Linked DNA regions of Xenopus tropicalis. The protein of the gene in region 2 purifies or fractionates together with the protein of the main gene of each other region. This does not show direct contact. Links are inferred from orthologs where the notes say so. Each region holds a gene or a part of one and is shown on either strand. Other genes may lie near its edges.

Evidence for each region.
Region 1: the proteins of znf644 (region 2) and cbx3 purify together in Homo sapiens (affinity purification with mass spectrometry; 3 studies listed by BioGRID and IntAct, with this or other methods). This does not show direct contact. The link is inferred for Xenopus tropicalis from reciprocal best matches to the Homo sapiens genes ZNF644 and CBX3.
Region 3: the proteins of znf644 (region 2) and adnp purify together in Homo sapiens (affinity purification with mass spectrometry; 3 studies listed by BioGRID and IntAct, with this or other methods). This does not show direct contact. The link is inferred for Xenopus tropicalis from reciprocal best matches to the Homo sapiens genes ZNF644 and ADNP.

Annotation. Positions count from the first base shown.
Region 1 is NC_030682.2:41,662,133-41,669,543, forward strand, and holds the start of cbx3 (chromobox protein homolog 3), read left to right. Parts: upstream 1-2,630; 5' UTR 2,631-2,676; intron 2,677-3,524; exon of another isoform or gene 3,525-3,548; coding exon of another isoform or gene 3,549-3,598; intron 3,599-5,932; coding exon of another isoform or gene 5,933-6,038; intron 6,039-6,474; exon of another isoform or gene 6,475-6,489; coding exon of another isoform or gene 6,490-6,504; intron 6,505-6,645; coding exon of another isoform or gene 6,646-6,648; coding exon 6,649-6,785; intron 6,786-7,411.
Region 2 is NC_030680.2:105,030,825-105,037,526, reverse strand, and holds part of znf644 (zinc finger protein 644), read right to left. Parts: coding exon 5,690-6,702; intron 4,455-5,689; coding exon 3,876-4,454; intron 493-3,875; coding exon 396-492; intron 1-395.
Region 3 is NC_030686.2:35,648,096-35,655,465, reverse strand, and holds the start of adnp (activity-dependent neuroprotector homeobox protein), read right to left. Parts: upstream 4,481-7,370; 5' UTR 4,152-4,480; intron 3,355-4,151; exon of another isoform or gene 3,257-3,354; intron 2,143-3,256; 5' UTR 2,006-2,142; intron 1-2,005.

The DNA.
Region 1 (7,411 bases), on a different chromosome or scaffold from region 2:
ATATTAGTCACGATAATATCGTATTGGCGATCTGAAAATCACGGAATTTTCATACCAAACCATTGCAAACAGCGGCAGGGCCTTTCCGAATTTTTCACGCGGACACGCAAAAAGTCGCGCAAGCGCGAAAAAACGGCGAGAATACGCTCGGAGCATTTGCATGAACGTTCCAAGCATTCGGGTCTTTGTAAATCTCCCCCATAATGTAGAGGCCCTTAATCTTACTGGACCAACGATGAAAGGTGGTTGGCAGTCCAAGGTCATTATTGGTGCTGAGGATTGCACATGGCTTTCTGCATTATCAGCACCATGGAAATCTTCTAGTTAATTATGCGCATGCATTGGGCTAGAACAACAGATGTGTGCATGTACCAAGCCTCAGAAACTGTTTTTGATAAAGTGATGTCTTTTTGTTTGTCTTAACTTCCCGTTAAAATTAAAAACCTGCTGCATTATTTTAAAGCACCTGTGAGATGGGATAAATCTTATTTTGTGGCTTTCCTTGTCCTTTAATGACATTAGCAGACACAGAATGTATGAATTTGGTGTTATTGGCGCCTTCCATCAGTTTGCTAGGAAGCTTAATTGGTGGTTTGCCACGGTTTTACAGCAAAATTCTGCAGTGCAATTGCACAAAATGTAAATGGTTTACATAAAGGAGAACAAGCTTGTTGCCAACAACAGTGTTAAAAGAAAAAGTGCATTAGTTATATACACCATTGCTTTACAGAAAAGTTGCATGGTTTATTCAGTTAAGAGTCATCTAGGTGACATTTGCATTGAACTTTTTATTCTGCTGGAGCGACCGCTATGCAAGAAGAGTTTGATAAATTGCGCAAAATTCTCTGGCCTCAGTTGCATGCAAAGTCTTTGCTTCAAAGGGCTCTCTTTGCATTTCTGTATAGTTGCACTTTGCACCACTCAGGCCTTCCTGTTCCATACTGAACGCAAATGTAATATTGATGCAGAGGAACCCTGGTGCTGCCATGTACGGACCAGGTGGTAGCTTCAGAGTTCCCTTTAGCACTCTGTGCCGCCTCAGGCATCCATGTTAATGCCGCCCCCTTGCGCTTAGCTTTGTTGCGTCAGTGGGGGGCTGCATTGCTAGTGCGGACAGCCGAAATTCTGATTTAAAAAACAGAAATTCAGCTCCTTAAAGGACAAGGAAAGGCTAAGTCACTTGGGGGTGCCAAAATGTTAGGCACCCCCAAGTGACTTTAATCGCTTACCTTGTACCCCAGGCTGGTGGCCCTGTTAGTAGAAAAGAGCAACGGCCAAGGGTACCTGTAGTGAGCGTTTCCTCCTTCCGGTTTCGTTTTGCAAGTACTACATGACAGGCGCATGCTCAGTAGAGTGAAAAAGCGACTTCTCTGTTAAAGTTCGGCTTTTCACTCTACTGCGCATGCGAAGATGTAAGGAGGAAGCGCTGCATCTACCTCGGGCTGGTGCTGTTCTCTCCGAACAGTGGCACCAGTCAGGGATAAAAGGTAGGCGATTTAAGTAACTTGGGGGTGCCCAACATTTTGGCACCCCCAAGTGACTTTGCCTTTCCTTCTCCTTTAAGTTACCAGGAGTGACTTTTGCTGCCCCTGGTAACTTGCCAGGCTCTGCCGTCTGAGGCGATAGGTGCAGGGGCACAGTTACTGTGAAGCGAGTTTAAAAACTCGCCTCAGGCAGCAGCACCCCCGAAGTTACCAGGGGAGGCAAATAGCCGCTCCTGACAACTTTAGGAGCCAAATTTCTGGTTTTTAAAAGGGAAATTTTGCTGCACTATAGCAGAGATTGCCATGGCACTCTCTACACTAGCGATGTGGCATGCCTGGACCCCCTCCCGTGCTGTAAAGGCATGGTAGGAACCTCCTCAGGTGGCTCAGGGGCAAGAAACACCCCTGGATAGGTGCAGTGCACTTGCATCTAGAGAATAGGTTCCTGACACTCTCATATTAAATGGACAGAATTTTTTTTAGCGCAATTGCATCTAATTTACAGCAAAGTTTGCCTGAAATTGCACTTGGCAGACTGCCCTGCACTTGTAAGCATAAATATTTTCTGTGTAGGTGATGTGACTGCTCAGCTGCCAGTGTATACCTAGAACGTCCAGATGATGAAACGCATACACTGGACAGACAGGGGAGTGCCTTCGTAAAATACACGAAAATGGCGGCCTAGTGAAGTGAAATATGTGTCAATGCCACATATTTCAAGCATTTTTTTTTTTTTTTTATTATTTGCAAACAAAACGACATGTATCAGTCAGACACCTACACGAGGAGCGACAGAGGCGGGCGGAGCCTGGGACCTACCTTTCAACACGTGACTCACTACTATTAAATATATAATTCGGGTTTTCTTTTATCATTAAGACCCTGACTTCATGGGCTCTTCAACTACACCCGTGTAGATTGTACCGGAATTGACATTAACTGCCCTCAAGGCAGGCTGTCCTATTTTGTCAGGGTGCCGCTTCCCTTAGACCCATGGTATTGAAAGAGTTACTGTTCGCGCCAGTAAATTCCCCGCCAGTGTGTTGGTAGGGCCCATTGTTCTGCGCGTCACTCGGGCCCTCCCACTCCTGCGCACATCGGAGCTGCAGGCAGCCGCGGCTTGGAGAGCGTTTCTCGGTGTGAGGGGGACGGAGCAGGAGTCACCGGGTGCTGGTTATCCAAAGAGAGTGAGGTACGGGGATGAGAGAGAGGAATGTTGTACCCGGGGGCATGAGGAGGGAGAGGAGCAGCATGGGAGAAGCACGGCCCGGCAGGGTTGGGGAGGCGGGAAAATTGCTGCTAGTTTGGGAGAGAAGCGGAGGCCTGCTGCAGAGTAGCAGCACAGACCAATGGGTGGGAGGCATTGTGTAAGGGCGGGGAGGCCGTTCTGCAAACATACTGCCTTGTCTTCAATTGCTGCTCACCGCTACCTGGGCTTGTTGGGAGCTGTAGTTCAACGGCAGAAAAAGTCACAACTTTCTATTTCACGTATATATCTTGCCGAATGAAGAGCGGCCCCCTAGCACTTATATGACGCTAGCAGTGTTAGTGGTATTCCGCCAGTATTCCCATGCCCGGTGCAGCGCACAGTAACTCTCACATAGTGCTAGGATGGATACCCCCTGAGTTTCTCTGTATCACTGGGTTTCTTTACAATGAAGCTAATGCTGTTCGGTACGGGGGGTGCGCAGGCGCGAAGGTTCGTGGCCTCTAGGTGGTTAGTAGGGAAAGTAAAGGGTATACAGGGCAATGGCTACCCGGGCTGGACAATCATAGGGAAAGCTCGGTGCCGCTGGTTATAATGGTTTCCAACTGTGCCATGCAGTTTCCCCTGCGACAGTCTAATCTCTAGTTTCCGTGAATGTGTGTTCCTCATCTCCCTCCGGAATACATTCGGTTAATCAATCATGTTGCGGCTCATTCACATGTACGCATGCGTGTTGGAGGGGGTGGGGGATGCTTTTGCTTTCCGGCTTGGGAGGTGAAGCGGCGTAAAACTTTATCTGGATGCACGTTGCGCAGAGCTGCTTTCACGCTAATGTTGTATGGGGGGGCGGGGGGGTTATGGAGTCTCGCACGGCAGTCACAGCAGAAAATTCCTGCCTTTGTTTCTGGTATGGCAGAATTTCGCCTCACGGCAGACCGCTTTCTCATTTCAAGGGACAGTGTATCCCGTGTTTATAGGATTGGCTTAGTGATAAGGGCGTGTGCTGAAAGGAGACTTATCATAACAAATTAAGAATGTACTAGTGAATTATACTTTAAATATAGAAGGATTGTGCTTTAAAATAGTTGTTTCAGACTGATTTATTGAAACATTATACACAGACCCCTCTAGTCCCGCCCATCTGTTCCACTTCCTGCAGGCTGAAATCTCTGGATGTGCAGGGGAACCACTGGCTCTTGGCACACTGCACTGTAGGATAGGAACCTACGCTAGGCGGACCCAATAGGGAACTGAAGTATGTCTTTGCTTGTGAATTCAACTGTTAGGATACTCCCGCCCTTCATTTGAAGCACAGAAGACTGATAGGATCTACATGGAGCTCCAGTAAAGGAGACCTTTTTACAGATAGGATTAATTTTTAGCCCGAAGTGACACCAGCACCATATAGTATTCATAAGTGCCTACAAAATTAGGGGTTTTTCCACTTATCCAATGTCTCATTGAACTTCATTTTTCCCTGTGTTAATTATTTATATTGTTTTATTCTTCTTTGCACTAAACAGGCCAGAATCTTCAGGTAGTCACTTAGAGGTGTTTAGATTAGTCCTTTTTCTGGAGCAATGAATTGCCTTTTGAGTGCTGAACCTGTTCTAATAATCAAATGAAAAACCAGTCTCTTAAGGTTTGGGATAATACCCCATAGTTTCCAGTGAAATTAAATCTCAAGAAAACCTAATTGACAGAGGTTAGGTTTTTATTTTTATCTCTGGAATAAAAATGTGCCAGCCTAGAGCTCTTTAAGTAGCAGTGATACCACAATACTGCACTTTTCCCTGGAATTCCTAGTGTAAACAGACTAGCACAAGCACGGTATACTACCATTGGAAAATTTTTATTAAACTGGACATGTGCAAGTTTGTGCTAGGAATCCTTGGGTAAAGTCTGGCACTTTTTGTGAGAATAGTTGGCCAAAGAAATAATTTTCTAACTTATTGGCACCCTTGTGCTTTAACATTATAACTTACTACATAGCAGGGAGCTAGCACCTAATTGTAAGCATAATACAGTTTGTGTTGGGATAATTTTGATAAGGCTGTGAAAAAGTGGTGCATATTGTCTTTGGAATGGTGCTCACAGTATTAGGGGCTGTTCCTTTACAGAAGAGGAGTGTTTCTATTAGGTTAGGTAGGATCAAGCATAGCAGCTATCAGTGGGCAGTGCTGGCACGGTGTGTACTGTGCTAAGAACTTGTACTGTATGTAATCAGGGAGCAGGAGGCTGGAAATTCTCTCATGTGACCAACAGTCTGAAGTGCCATTTTACACTAATGTTAACAGGAAAGTTTGAAATGGAGAGTACTAATTGCATATACAATTATTGGTTTATATTGATAACTACTGTATTAATAATGCATGTCTTGTAACATATGTTTCTGATATCTAAATGTCTCTTAAAGGGGTAGTGCACCCCAGTGAATAGGGCTTGTGCCAAATGCACTTCTATCTTATTTAAGAAAAACATTCTTGTGATTTCTTGTAGTAAACTGGCACAATCTAAAACAAAGTTGCATTCTACTTCCTGGCTGTATAATTAAGGTCAAAACAGATCTGCGTTCTACTGCTGTTCCTTATCTCTGTCTTACAGGCTGCAGCTGGGCAAGGAATCTTAGTGGGCAACTGATTTGTTTTGACCTTGATTGTAGGGACGGGAACTTTGAATGAAAGGGAACCCAAATGAAAATATCTGCTTTTGTTTTGTGCAAGAAATCTCAATTGTACCAACTAATTGCCCTGCATGTCTTTGCCCTTAAGTTACTTATTCTGCCACAGGCTAGCTGCAGTGAGTCAGACCAGATATAGTCTGTCTGGCTTTAGGCCACAAGGAATTTATTCAACTTAGTGTATGCCTTTTATAGAAAGGCTGCAACTGCAATGGGACCTATATGTAATTCATTAAGCATGCATTTTGTGCATGTTTATCTTAAAGGGGCTGTTTACTTTCCAAACACACTCGAGCTTAGTTTTTTTCTGGTGTACTATGTGAAAACGCTTGAACTGAAATCTGTTTGGAAGGCAAACAGCTTCTTTTTAAAATTGTTTTAGTTATAAACTGATGTGTGGTTAAAAATTTCTACATGCTGTCAGGACCTGATAATGGCTAGACCTTAAAGATGCATTGCATGCTAAAATATGTAACTTTGCTGTTGATGTAGCAGATGTGAGTGTTAACCACCATTTGTACTTGTGAACATTCATTTGTAGAAACTGTTTTTGATTTATAGGTTTGTTTATTTTTGCTGGGCTAATAATCCTAGCAGCCAGGCAGTATTTTGGAAGTCAGAAGTAAAGATGAAGAGTGGAGGACTTCCACAATTAGAAATTAACATGGTAACAATCTGATTTCTAGCTTCTATTTCTAGTATATTATATAGCATATGTGAAGGACTTATGTTGTAAGACAGGCAGTATTGTTTTGAGGGGGGGGGGAGCATCCCTCTCTTTGAGGGCATAAACAATATTACGTGTGCACTTTAGTTTGACATACATACATTATTGTCAAGCAATTATCTGGTTTCACCTTTTAAATAAGTTCTTAAGTGTCCCTTAACTTTAGTGCTCTAATGCTTTCTATGTTAAAGGGAAAATATACCTTATTCTTGACATGTAGAATAAGTAGTATCTGAACTTTCAAATTGTAATAAAATAATATATTTATATTTACAGACATCACCTTTCATTAGGAGGTGATTAATTCTGCAAATTGAAGTCCCTCTGCTTTCCGTAGCGGGTGGTGCACATTCTCTGGGAAGCTGTGGGATTTTCGCAGAATCACTTCACAATGGAACAAAGATGGGTATATTTGCCCTTTAAGCCATTGGTCGAACTATTAAGATGTACTAAATTTTTTTTTTTTTTTTTTTAAATGTACCTTTTGAGTTTCCTTCTTACAAAATAGATATGTATACTTAACCAATATATATTTCTTTTTCCACAGACCATGGGAAAGAAACAGAATGGCAAGGGCAAGAAAGTGGAGGAAGCAGAGCCTGAAGAATTTGTTGTAGAAAAAGTTCTGGACAGACGTGTAGTAAATGGAAAGGTTGAATATTATCTCAAATGGAAAGGTTTCACAGAGTATGTAGTGTTAACATTCAACTTCTACCACAGCATTTTATTGATATTGAACAGTATTTAGAAATTTGATGAAAACATTTTTTAGTATTAGAGATGTTTTTTAAAGGAGAAGGAAAGGCTAAGTCACTTGGGGAAGCCAAAATGTTAACGTTGCTGCTGTTTGCCCCTGAAACTTTCAATAAAGGCATTTTAATTTAAAATGTAAGAGGTGCTGTTCCGGATCGTTTGTACCTGGATATGCCGATGGAATGTGGCCATTGGGAAACCTGCACTGTTACAAACTAAATACAAGGTGTTGTGCTGACTACTACTTCCAAAGGTGCCAAAATGTTAGGCACCCCCAAGTGACTTTAATCGTTTACCTTTTACCGCACCAGCCCTGGGTACCTGCAGTGAGCGCTTCCTTTTTCCTTCTGCCGGGAAAATCCCTGGGCCGGTGCATGCACAGTAGAGTGAAAAGCAGACTTCTTTGTCCAGCTTTTCACTCTACTGCGCAAGCGTGCGAACCAGGAAGAGGAGATGCTCGCAGGTTCGGTTCTCTCCTAACAGGGGCACCAGCCCGGGGTAAAAGGTAAGCAGTTAAAGTCACTTGGGGGTGCCTAACATTTTGGCACCCCCAAGTGACT
Region 2 (6,702 bases):
TGATGGTTTTTCTTGCTGCTTTTTATGCCCTATTCACTCAGTTCTACCATCTTATAATACCTTGCACTGAAAAGCCCTAAAGAGACTGAAACAGGCTGCCTGCAAGTTTGTATGTAATGGCTCTGAATTATACCTGTTATATATGTTATATAAAGTAAAGTCAGTAGAACATGGGTGAGTTTTTATGTATTAAACTCTAACTGACATTTTGATAAATCTGCCCATTTATATTAAATATGTATTACAGTATCGAAGTGTGACAGTTTAACTACTACATCACAGATAAAAATGAGTAAAATACAATAGAAAAACAAATTAATACCAAGCGCACTGAAGAAGTTTTTCAAATGTAGGTAAAAAAAAAAACAATTTTAAAACCTGTTTGAAAGAACTACCTGCATCTTAGGATGTAAACCTCATCAGCACCATGAGACATTGCTAATCCTTTCTTCTTACTTCCAGACCTTGATCTTGATTTCTTTTGCTTGAATTCTGTACAGAATTAAGGTATTATATTGACTACATTAGAAAGGATAGACATCAATGGATAAAATATGTGAATATTTGTCCTTAATTTATAAAGTTTTATTTGAAAACAACAAAAATTTTCCCTAAGCAATGTTGTTACTTGTAAGTACTAGTCTTGCATAAAGTGAAGCTCGCCCTACATTGGCCAAACAATCTAATCATTACCTAATTTAGCCACCGTGACAAAGGGGTACAAAATTACACCTATTAGGAGAGGAGCATAGTCTTTGCAGTACAAAATTTTCTAACTTTCCCAATACTTGATGGAACCCTAATCAGCTATCAGTCAGGGTTTTGTAATGTGGCCTTATGCATAACCCAGTTAGGAGTGTCAATATACATGTCAAGGCAACATGTTAAACTAACCCATTGACACTTTTACGTAAGGAGATGGCATTGCAAGTTCCATGGCACATGATTTCATCTTTGCACTTAAGCCAAAGCATCTGAAGGTTAAGGGTACACAAGGCAAATTAGTTTTTTTTTTTGCCTAAGGGATTTTTAGCTCAGCAGGTAAGAGACAAGATACTCAGAATCACCCCAGAATGCTACTTGAAATTGCTAACTAATGCAGGCATGGCCTGTTGAAACTTAAACAAATGAGTGGCATTTCAGATCTTTTTATCACTCGCCTGCTCAGCTGGAAACCACTTGGCCTACAAGGCATTCTGATTTGTTCCATGTGCCAATTCCCTAACAGTAAAACCCTCAAATTAACTACCAAGTGCAACAATGAAAGAATGTGTTTTCAAATACTGCCCAACATTTTACAATAATGGTCTTGTGAACCTGAATGCACGAACATTTTCATACTGGCCATATACCTACCAGAAACATTGTACAAAACAAAACAATTATTGGCACATGTATGATGACCCACCAATGCAGAACAATATCCATAGTACTATGGATATTGGTTGTTTCAGTCATCAGAAAGGTCTCATTTCACCTGCCAATACACCATGTTGGCTAGTGTGTGGTGCTCCTTTTTACTTGCTGATGTTATCCAGAATAATAGTAAGGAAGTCTCTCCATTTAGCCATCGGCTCATCAAAAAGCATACTTATTGACCTGCTTTTGGCCCTTTTTATATAGTTTTTTTTTTTTTTTTTTAATTCTGCCAGAAAACAACTTATAATGTTTGTAAACCTTTTCATGCTTGCATAAAGGCATCCATTATCTCATATGTATGCTGCTATGTGCTTTCTAGCAAACAACATATATACAACTGTACAGCACTGCGTACATAGGTAGCGCTTTATAAATAAAGATATACATACATACTGTCTTGCTTTATGACTGGGATAGCATATATACAGATTTATCAGTGCTTTGCCTCCAACAACTAAAATTATTTAATTTTGTAATGGAGGTTCAGGTATATCATACTTTTTAACGGATTCCTCGATGACAAACTCTTTCATATACCTCCCTCCATATGACCTAAAGTTTACCCATTCAAATAGATGCCACTCTGCTTACTTCTATAAACATAATTTTCTTCAATCAGCAGAAGGGGTTGACTGATTAGATCAGAGAAATATGGCAAGATTGTAAGCTATTTTGGGGAGGGCCCTCTTTACATCTTGTACTGGTGACTGGTTTCATGGTTTTTTTTTTTTAATATATAGCTAATGTATACACCAATTTATTCTAAAATGATGCAGAATATGTTGGCATTTTATAAATACATGTTGATGTACAAACTGCACAGTATCTAGTTGATAAACCCACAGCCTACTTGCTGTATTGATTACCTGATCAATTATATTTTTGTTAGATCTGGAAACCCATTAGACAAAAAGCTACGAAATATGGAAAGGCCAATCTCCCATAGACTCCATTATAACCAAATAATTCAATTTTTAAAAATTAAAATATTTTATATTAAATATTTTTTTTTTCCTGTAATAACAAAAAAGTACCTTGCACATTATCCCAACTAATATATAATTCTTATTAGAAGCAAGACAATACTATTGGGTTTATTAAGTGTTTAAATGATTTTTTAGTAGACTTAAGGTATGGAGATTTAAAATATGGAAAGATCCCTTATCTGGAAAACCCCAGGTCCTGAGAATTCTGGATAATAGGTCCCATGCCTCCATAAAAAAATACTGTCTTTTGGAGCCCATAGGCGTGCTGCAGGCATGAAACAGCTTGAATAGCAGCATCAAAACTGTGGGTTTCCAGATGGACAGCCATGCCCTAAAGTATATAATAAGGTATCACCAAAAACCTAATTTATATAGAGAGAACTACATATGTATGTAGCAGCAATAAACATTAAAACTTCTGCTAATTTCAACTTAAAATGCAATGCCCAAAAGACAACCTGTTATAAACTATATACATATATAGATTTTTTTTAAGCTTCCTGTTACTCTGAACAGAATAAAAACTCTAGTTGACACTGTGGTAATTAAAGTGTTTTACCCACAAGACTGTAAAAGGCTCTGTACTAAATTAGGCTGCTGATGAAGGCTGGGAGAAAAGGTGGTAAAACACAGCACCAAACAGCTGTTAAACAAAACATTGTATTCAATGCCTTTTATATTCATTACTCTGGATGCGCAAGCAGTAATGAAAGTTAATGATCTGAAGTTTCTTGCAAAATTCTTTGTGCAAAGCAAATGATCAACAAACTAGTTTTACTTATCAAAGAAGGAAAAAAATCAGCTCTGAAGTTAACAAAACAAGAATTTGTTAATTTGGAATAAAGTAGAATTTCTAGTTTCTAAACATTTGATTTACTATCTCTATCTTTGATTTATTCTACAGCTTTCTGTTCCTACTTTAACAGATTCTGTAATTACAAAGCCAAAAACTGAACAGAACTGTAGATGAAATAAAAATATTTTAGCTTGCTAAAGCCACAAGTCTGCGCAGTTTGTGGGGAGTCTAAAAGCCAGGGTGAAACAATGTGCTTTATTTGTTGCCTTGGACACTTCTATAGCAAGTTGACTGCCTTCTTTGTTCAACGTGAAAGCAATAAATAGGACTTGGCATCAAAAATGTATTCTGCCTATTTTTTCTATTATAAAGCGCTAATTGATCAAAGTTCAGTTTTTACTTTTACTACCTTCCTTTTCACCCGTTGTAATCAGAAGAGTTTGTTTAAATTTGAGAAAATGAATTCTGCATAAAAAAAACTTCTCAAAGCCTGCAGAAGGGATACTGGAAAATAGTCCATTATACAAAAGGGTTTATCTGTGAACCGGTAATGTGATTAACTACCTTCTTCTCCCACAGCAGCTCTGAAAAACTACAGAAAGTTGAATTTAAACTGGTAAAAAAAAAAAAACTTATGGGATATGCCAATGGTTAATTTAAAAAAAAAAAATTACCTGCATGCATAGCATAGTCCATTGATTTGTGCTGATTACACATCGACGAACAGTCTTCATTTAGTGGATGAAGGCATTTTTGAATGAACCTTTTTCTTGCAGTTTGACTGATCTTTTGAGCGGAATGTTCTACATTCTTTCCTTGACCCAATCTTTTCATTTTAAGCAGTTCAATTAGTGAAAAGGGTTGATCTTTGTCAGCATCAATGTTTGCCTTATTACATTCATTTGATAAAGGCAATCCCTCTACATCTGATGTTGCTCCAAGCTTTAAGCCATTATGGCGAGCTTCAAGAGGCAAAGCAGTGCTAGCTGAATTGTTACTGGAAGGTTTCTGAGCTATAAATGGTTTGTGAACTGGACGTCTGTTACTCAGTGCTTTCAATATTTGTTCATATTTTTCTTCATTTTGCAGCATTTCATTAAGAACACAGATTGGTGACTTGTTTGCATCCCACTTAGTTTTGCCAATTCTTTTTAAATGCCCACGAACATGATTTGATAATCCGATTTTAGTATCAAACCATCCTCCACACAGTGCACAGGTATGTTCGGACGGACTTTCTGATTTTTCTATTGCTAAAAAAACAGCATGAAAACAAACATTACATTACATTTGTTTCAAAATATTTAGCAGTCTACTAAGAAGTAAATTAGAAGTCTATGTTTATTATTTTTGTTGTTAAACCAGGATAATATAAGGGTGTGACTACTAAAGCACACACACTAGGCACAACTCAGTACTAGAACAAAAAAATGTATTCAAAAAGCTAGTGCATTAGTAAGTAACAAAATTGCACCCTATTTTTGAGCCTTCATGAGGGTGCCACAAACAAAGGCCCCAGGGTAGGGCTGATAGATTGTTAACCCTGACTAAGGCCCCGCAGTACAAAACAATTCCTTTAACTTGTAGAATAACATTTCTTTTTATAAAATATATTTTCAAGTTTCTAGTAATATCGCCTTATGCTTACATTATTTATCTTATGGTACCCAGGCAGTAATGTTTGGCTTGGATAGAGTATACAGCTTGGACTGTATACAAGCATAAAACACACATTTTTCCTCTACTTACAACATAAAAGTATCATAACAGTCCTTTTTAATTTTTAAGTACATAAACCTTTTTAAAGGTTTTTCTTTTTTCTCTTCAGTGACAATGTTAGGAGCGAAATTACTTAAACATTACTCTGTGCGGAAAGCTTGGAAGGCAGGTTTATAATAGACTACCATGCAGAGAAGAACTGGTCAGCCTGGGCAGAAAATCTCATCTACCAATGCCTCCCAATGGAATGGCTGGAGGAGTTATCTTCTAATGTAAACTGACAGGGGCTACACAAAAAGACCAATTCCTTCCAGTCTACCTTTAATTTGTAAGTTCAGCCCTATGCCAGAAAGAAAAATCTTTGCAACCACATGTTCAACGAATGAGTGCGAACCAAGGGGATCAGCTCATGTATGAGCTGAAGACACACAGGAACTAAAAAAGTGAAAGCTGTAGTTTAAACATATAATAGATACCATGTCTCAAAAGTTACTTCAAGAAACTGTTTTGCAAAGACATTACATTTTGTGAAGTGTAGTGGTGTAGTTGAAGTGTATCTGAGTACCTGTAAATTCTGACAATTTAGTCATCAGGAAAACTACAAATGAACAACACCCCCATTTCTTGTTTTTAGAGGTGCAGAAAAAAATGGTGTAAATTCTAGGAAATAGTAAAATCTAATATATTATGCATTATAAACTGGGGGAACCACAAATAAACCAAAAATCAAGGCAATCCATTCAAACACTCCAGTCAAGTTCATTCATACCTTTTCGAACTCGTTTCGTTGGTGTTCCAGTTCTCTTAAAGTGCTGCATTTTATCACTAGTTGCAATCTGTTCTGGTGACACCACATGTCTAGCTTCATACGTCAATCCTGCTCTGTGAAGATGCCCACGAACATGATTTGACAGTCCAACCCCAGTTTCAAAGGTTGCAGGGCAATAAGGACAATTTTTCTTTTCCAGAGACAAATCACTCCAATGGAATATAGCACTATGCTCTTGCAGCACAGAGTCATCATTTTCAAGATGATTAGCACCAGGCATGTCTTGTATAAATACATCCCCCTCCCCATCTTCATAATACTCAAAGTAAAAACCATCATTGCTATTATAGTGCAGGGTGGATTCATCACCATGCTCATCGTTCAATTTCTCCTTGAATACAGGATAAACTGATTGCTTTCCTGTATTATAAGGTCCATCAGGAGGTTCTGTATATTCATATATTTCATCATTTTCCCATGAATCATATTCATCTTTTTGTTCAGAGGGGTGAAGTTTTTTCAGGACAACAAAAGTCATTTTTTTAAGGAAATCTGGATAACAGTCTAAACTTTCTTCAGTGGCTGAATGTTCATTTTCTGGTTTAAGCACCTTTTCTACAGCTACCCGCCTGTGATCTTTAAAAGCAACAAATTTCCTTGGCTGTAAAGACTCAGCATCTATAATCGAGCAATCATTCTGAAGATCAGTGGATGCTGAAAGCAACTCTAAAGTACTAGATGAATCTTCCTTTTTTAAATTTAATGGATACAAATCATTAGACTTCTTTAACATTTTGAAATTCTGACCGTATCTGTAGCCATGATTCGCTCTGGCATATTTCGGTTTTGTAATTTGTTGATAATACCTATGTTTTTGGTCATTGCTAGTAAAGAGAAGGGATTTATTTGGGGAAATGGATGGACTACAAACTACAGACTGAGCAGCACTTTTCCTTGCTTTTTGTATTTTGTGCTTTCGATGCAACTTTGTAAAACTGTTTGTTTGGGATACA
Region 3 (7,370 bases), on a different chromosome or scaffold from region 2:
CTCAGCTGAGATCCTATTCAATGAAAAATAACTATATGGCCCTCAAGTATGTGTTCTGCACAAGCATATACAAGGCTGATCTAGGGTTTTGGTTCAAATGATGTTCTGAAGCAGGGGTCAACAATAGTTATGGGGCTATCAGAGAGGGGCTAGATTTTTCCTACCCTAGGCCGTTCAAGGTGCCAATGTGTTGTGCCAACCCCTTCTTGATCACAAACATATACACACACACACATATATAAATGCACATATATAGGGTTTTGTGATTAACAAGGGGTTGGGATATATATATTATAAACACACACATATATAAATATATGTTTCTGATTCCTCAAGCTACCATGTCTGCTTCAGACAACCAACAATGTTGTGTCATTAATGCACTGCAAGGCAGAAAATGATGTTGGGTTGAGAAACTCAGGGATAAACCTTTAAATAATAATGAACCGTAAGAAATAAGACTATTTGTAAAATAACAATTACACAGTCACAAGATTTTTCTTTTTAATAATACCAACAGTTCCCCCTTTTGAGCATGGTCAACCTGTCTTAAGCACAGGCCTACATGTGATCACAAGGTAAAGTATAAGCCCTGAATCTGCTGTGCATGGAATGTGTTCCAGCCTTATACAGCTTAACCAAACTACAGGACACCAGTCTGTACATGTCCTAAACCAAAGAGCCAACAATGTGCCGCTAACTTTGCCAAAATAAGCCTCAGCAATAAACTCATTATGTCATCTGTCAGTCACAGAGACCTCAGCATACAAAAACGCACAAGGGCCTCTAGAACCGATGCCCTATGGCAAAATATTGAGGGGTACAGATGTGACACAAACATGTACTGTTACTAAATTAGGTTGGCGAAATATAGAAACATATTCCTTATAGCATTTTAGCTTTGCCTAACCATGGTGATTTCAATATTGCAGACATAAGCGATGTTCGGGGTTGCTTCCACAAGCTGGACCAGATATCCAATTTGTAAAAGGATGTCATCCAAAGCTGAAGCTGTGGGTTCATGCTGCTTTGTATTTACAGAATTTTATATAAAATATCCGGCCAACCATTTACAGTTTCCATGGCTTTTGAAAAATAAGGACACATCTGACAGGCTATGTAGACAAGCAAGGCTGTTACTAGTATGCTATACACAGGGAATGTTTTAAGGGTTGAATTATTTTCATATGCTCCTCACCAGTGTTAGTTAGGGGACACTGACTAAAGCCAACAGGCAGAAACAAGTAAGCCTTACATATACAGTACATTAAAGGGGAACTCCACCAAAAAAACATGTTGTGCATAATGAAAGTAAAAGGTAATACTAAGCAACATTTAGGAAAGGAAACCTATTTGCCGGGGATGTCAAAAATGTTAGACACACCTCAGTGAACAGAATTCTTAGATTTGCTTCCCAGTTGGTGTTCCTGTCAGAAAAACAATTGCACTGCCCCATGAAAACCCAAGAGCCATGCACAGATATTACTAACAATAATCTGCAGCTGGGGCAGGCTCATGAGCAACAGAGTCAACTTTTCTGATTTTACTCTGCTTTGTATGTGTCTCCTTTATGTTAAAACATAACTTATCACAGGCAACACCAGACTGTTTATATTCTCTGCACTACTGGTTATCATATGTAAAAACGTGGCAGAAACTAGCTGGTAACAGACCTGCAGGATGGCTGACGCAGAACAAAAATGGATCAACACATACAGCTTTCAACATTAATAACATTTACACATAACTTTTAAAACTAATGAAATCAGGAATGCATGTATTTTGAAAAGTTAAGTTATATTTTCTTTTATTAGTCAAAAGAACTGTTTTTCAGTAGTAATTAACTTTAAAGCATGGTTACACAGTTGATAAATAATGATGGTTACTAAAGACACTTCACTCCATGGGTTCCAGGGTCCTCTAACATGCCATGCAAAAACACAGTCCTTACTACCATCCTTCTTTTCTAAAAGCTTAGAGGTAGAAAGGAGAAATGAAAACAAACCTTTTATGTCAAAATAAAGTTAAGGAAGATTGAAATGATGATCCGAGCGCCAGTTTGTTGCTGTATGTCCCACACAGTGCAAGGTGCTGCAGATAGGAATCCAAGGAAAAAGTGTAAGTGCCAATGAATTTATCCACCTGTAGAGAGAAAATGATTGAATTTTAAGCACATGGTATTTTCTTAAAAACTACAGTACCCTCTGATTCTACTCTTCCCCTCTATAGTGCCACTTACTGGGTTAGTGCTTTGATACATTAGTCTATCAGTTCAGTTATGTTTCACCCCCTTCCCAGGGCCACCCTCTTTATAATTTGGGAGTTCTGTTTCTGCACAAGTTGCACAAAACGTTGAACCCGAAAAATGCTAAAAGTAAGGTAAGGTGTTGTTATTGAATACACTATACCATGCTCTACACTAGTGATGGGCAAAACCTGAACAAACAAGGGATAAGTTAGTGGTAAATAACTAGCTGGCATAATCTGATGTGAGGTGCATAGCCCTAATGGACACAAGGAGTAAAGTAAATTGCCATGAGTAAGAAAAGGCACCAATTTGACAAGTCAGTTTTGTGACAGGGGGGCTATACCCAGGTATCCAAAGTATAGTTTTTAAGGTGTTGCTGAACCATCACTAGCAGCCTTTAGCAGAGATGCTGGGAACTGTAGCACTCAGAAGGTCCCAAGCAGTGCATCCATGCTCTACACTAGTGATGGGCAAAACCTGAACAAACAAGGGATAAGTTAGAGCCTGCACCTAGAAGCACCAGAGGGGCCTAGGGAATGTGGGAGTGAATCACTGGCTCTCTGCACAAGCAGTGCATAATGCTGCTGTCATGGGCCCTGCCGCATTCCACTCCCAAACCTATAGGAGGCGCTGTGCAGCAGCTTCCAGTTTTGCTTCAGTCTACCCATCCCCCCACCCCAGCGCCTTACCCGGCGCACAGCAAGCGCCCCCTACTGGAATGTGAGGCGCCATTTTCTAGCTGCAGTGCATCTTGGGTGGAGGCTGCCTGTTATTTTTTTTATTCCCCTTTTTCCCCCCTGCCACAGCTCGCAGCCGTGCAAATAGAGAAAACAAACAGCGCTAAAGTGCATGACTAATGCGAAGCCATCACTGTGACAGCAGGCCATGTGCAGCGCAGGAAAACACCGGCAGCAGTTCGGATCGAGCGCCTTTGTGATGGACCCCCACTACGGGGAGTGGTGCAGCCCACCTGCCGCTAAACCCTAGCGCCGGCCAGCCCATGTGTACCTGGGGAGAGGGGAGCATGCTGGTTTAAAGGTTCCTCCTACAGGATCGCGCCTTTTTGCAGCAGAAGCAGCCAGACAAGGGAGGGTGGGGGCAGCCCCTATCCCCACCCCCTCCCATATATTAACCCTTTGCCTTCATGCCACTGGGATGCCCGAGGTACGGCCCTCCGGCTTCATAACTGCACGCAATACGAAGTTCTATTTATGTAGCATGGCAGCGCCAACCCCATGCCCCCCGCTGCACCCACAGCCGGATCCTGTGCCCCTCCATGCCCGGCACCCCTCTAGCCGAGCTCCCACCGGCACTGCATGTCAGGCTGGAACTCCCCAGCAGCAGGGTGCCCACCCACACATCCCATTGGGGCACCCCAGCTAGTGGCAATGGGGGCAACAGGACTCATACTGGCACCTCCCCCATCCCTACACCCAAAGTAACAAGTCTGTCCCCACAACCATCATTATCCGCATCCAATCAGAGCTGCCCGGCACAGATGTGAGTGCTCAGTACAATAGCCAGGTATGCCCCCTGCCCACTGGGCCCATCAGCCTGCCTATCTGTCCCCACACTATCTCCATCCCCTATTTGTGTCCCTCACACTCTCTGCACTTCCACCAACTCCATTGTGCCCCGCACTTCCTGCAGCCCTCAGTGTCTCCCCAATCCTTAATAACTTCCATCTGTTCCTCACACCACCAGTAACTTTATTATCCGTAACTAGCTCTGCTCTACCCCCTGTCACCCCCCCCAATTCCTGAACTATAAATCCCATCATCCTCTATAGGGGGGATCTGGGAGTTCTAGTTCTACCTCACGTTAGGCACTCCGACTTCATGAGAAGATGCACCCCAACATACCCACCCTGTAACCATTACGCCGCTCACGGCCCCAGACATACCTGAGCCGGGGGGTTGCTTGTCAGCCCGAGGCGGTGGGCAGCCTATGGCCCCTTGGGATATGGGGGTGCCAGGCAATGCGCCTGAGCATGAGCCCCGTGTTTGTGTGTGGGAAGGGGGTGGAGTCAGTTCCCGGTGCCGGTGGCTGCAGCTGTGACTCCGCCGGGTGCACTTCCTCCTCCTGCAGACAATACAGCACGGCGGCGGCAGCGGCTCCGATCCTGCCCTGGCCAAAATGGCGGCCGCGAAGGAGCGGAAGTGACGTCAGCGCTCATTAGCATGAAGGAGGGGTGGGGGGACTCATTGTCCGGAGCTGGCGGGAGCCCGGGAAAAAACAAATACTCCACTGCAGCCGCGCACCTGGGGACCGGGGAGATGGGCATGCACAAAGGGGATCTTGTCCAGCAGGAATTTGGGGGTGAAAGAGAAAATCGGGTCACCAAGATAATCTCCCTCTCACCGCTAGGGGGCGCCTTTTGCGGACGGATACTTCAAAGACAGAAAAATTACAGTGGGAATGCGCGGTGTTCTTGGTATCCCTTCGCCACCGGCACTATTATGGGTTTGGTCACGTGGTGCTGGGTTCTCAGTGCTGCAGCCATGTGGTTTGGGTGGTGTGGAGGGAAGAGATTGGTAGGGCAGCTCCCTGACTGGGTGCCAATTTCATTGCTACTGGCACTATATCAGGAGCAAGAAGTAAGCATCCCATGAGTTACACTTCTGTGGAAAGAGGCTCATTGGGAAACTAAGTTGGCCACAGTAATGGCTGCCAAGGACTGCCAATTTACAATGGTCTCTTTGGAGGGAGGTGACATCTTCCAGCCAGTGGTCACTGTAGTTCTTGAGGATCTAACAAATGACAAGTAAAATCCCTTAGCTAGGTATTATGGTGCCAATATAGTAGGTACCACAGCATCCCTCTGGCAGTTGCAAAGCATCAGCACCTTTAGCAGAACTGATTGCTAGTTAGTAACCCATTGTGCATATAGGTGCCCTCAAAGCCAATTAGCTGCTTTCTATGGTCAACAGCCAAGCATTAAAGTCATTCTCTGATACAATCAGGACCCTATTTCATGGTATGTTTGGGGACCTGGAATATTTTCTTTCAACTAAAGTAGTTTTGGTTTGCCATTGCCCTTCTATTCTTGGGGCTTCTGATTTTCTAGACTAAAGGTAACAATACACATGCCTATTTAAGTTGCCAATTTCAGACCAATTTAGCAGCGCATCTGTATGGGCACTACCAACAGGCCTATTTATTATAAAAAAAAATAGGCAAATGTATTTAAGCATTTGATTGAATTGATTGAAAAATTAATTGAAATTATTGAAAAATGAAGACAACTTAATTCAAAGGACCAATAACCCTAAACATGATTAATCTGACTTCAAGCCTTTTATTTAATTCCAGTGTTTGCCGTCAGCTCCACTGTGTTGCAGTCTTTTATGTGTTGTCTAAACAATGCCCCACCCAGCCTATAATGTTCAGTGGATCTTTACGTGATACATATTCATAAACTGACTTAAATATAATAAAGTACAGTTCAAGTATATATTTAATGCAATAAACCAACAGTTACCATCACCAACCAGTATATTAAAAAAACAAAAAAATAAAATTATATATTACTTAAAATTGTACTCACAATTAAAGAAGATTATACAAAATTTAATAAAATCATGAATGTCCCAATCAACAGCTTAACACATACAAGCAATTGATAAAGTTCATCAGTGAAGAAGGAAAGGTAATACAGAAAAAAATCCAGTTCATCCAGGAATATAGTGGGCACCAACACATATCTTGATTGCTGATCAGAATAATCCAGACCCACCAGCAAGTACAGTCTCAGTTCCTATATTGTCCCCTAGTTTTGTGGGATTGCTTAGAATACCCAAGTTCTCATAACTAATGAGGCTCTCTTTCCCTCTGCCATCTTAATGATGGCTAAACTGACAGCATATGGTGCAGTATTCCTTTATGGTGCCACTGCTTATGCCTCTTACCCCAGTTAATTTCAACAGACCTTACCTTTAGGACTCTTTTACTCTGAGGTAGTGCTGTTCTCCCCGGTGGCCATATATTTCATCCCAGCCATTGGGTTGCACACATAATCGTTCACCATTCCAGTAGTGCCGAGTCCCGTGATCCATTGCTCTTTATCACACAACTCCTTATCTCACTGTGGGGATCACTTTAAGTGGCAATTCACTTTACCTGTGGGTTAAAGTGTCTCCTGATTGGTCTGTAATCATAGTCACAGACTGAATAAAAAGCCCTGAAAAGGCAACTTTAGCCACTTTCAATTATAAAGGACTAGTATCTTTAGCTTTTGGCTACCCACCTCACATTGTTATTTTCAGTAGATTTATTATGTCCACTGCAACTCCTGTTATTCCAATAGGTTTCACTTTGTTCAAAATATTCCCCAAAAGCCCTCCAAGAAATTCCACAGGTATGCAGCGAATCAAGGATTTTGGTCACATGACTTTAAACACAAGGTTTTTTTTGTTCATAATTGATGCAATATTTTTCCCTTAAATTTTAATTCACAAACTGAAAATTACAATCGCTTGGGCCTTGGTCAAAAATAAATTTTTCTTGGAAGATTAGGTATTTGGCCAAAAATGATGGATTCAATGCATTAAAAAATATTGTTTCTAAAACGAGCAATATTTTTGACAGAACAAACTAAGGGGGTAATTTATCAAAACTTACATTTGTGTAATTTGTGCGAATGTCAAAACCTTGTATGTAAAAAATAGTTTGCCCAAGATAGCTACCATTTATTTCTGTGACCTTGCAAGCTTTCTAGATGCAAAAGTTTTACATCTGAGTTCACATTTTTTATCTTTAAAAATATTGAAAATTTGCGTTTTTTTTTCTCTCTAATAAAACATTTTTTAAATTCTGCTAATAGATTATGCAGTGTTGTACTGTTCCAAATTCAATTCAATGTTCCAAACTGAAAATACATTTATGGGACCTGTTATCCAGAATGCTTGGGACCTGGGATTTTCCCCAATAGGATTGTTTTGGCTCCAATAAGGATTAAATTATATCTTAGTTGGGATCAAGTACAGGTACTGTTTTATTATTAGAGAGAAAAAGGAAACCATTTTTAAAATGTGAATTATTTGATTAAAATGGAGCCGATGGCAGATGGCCTTTCCGTAATTCGAAACTTTCTGGATAATGGGTTTCCGGATAAGGGGTCCGA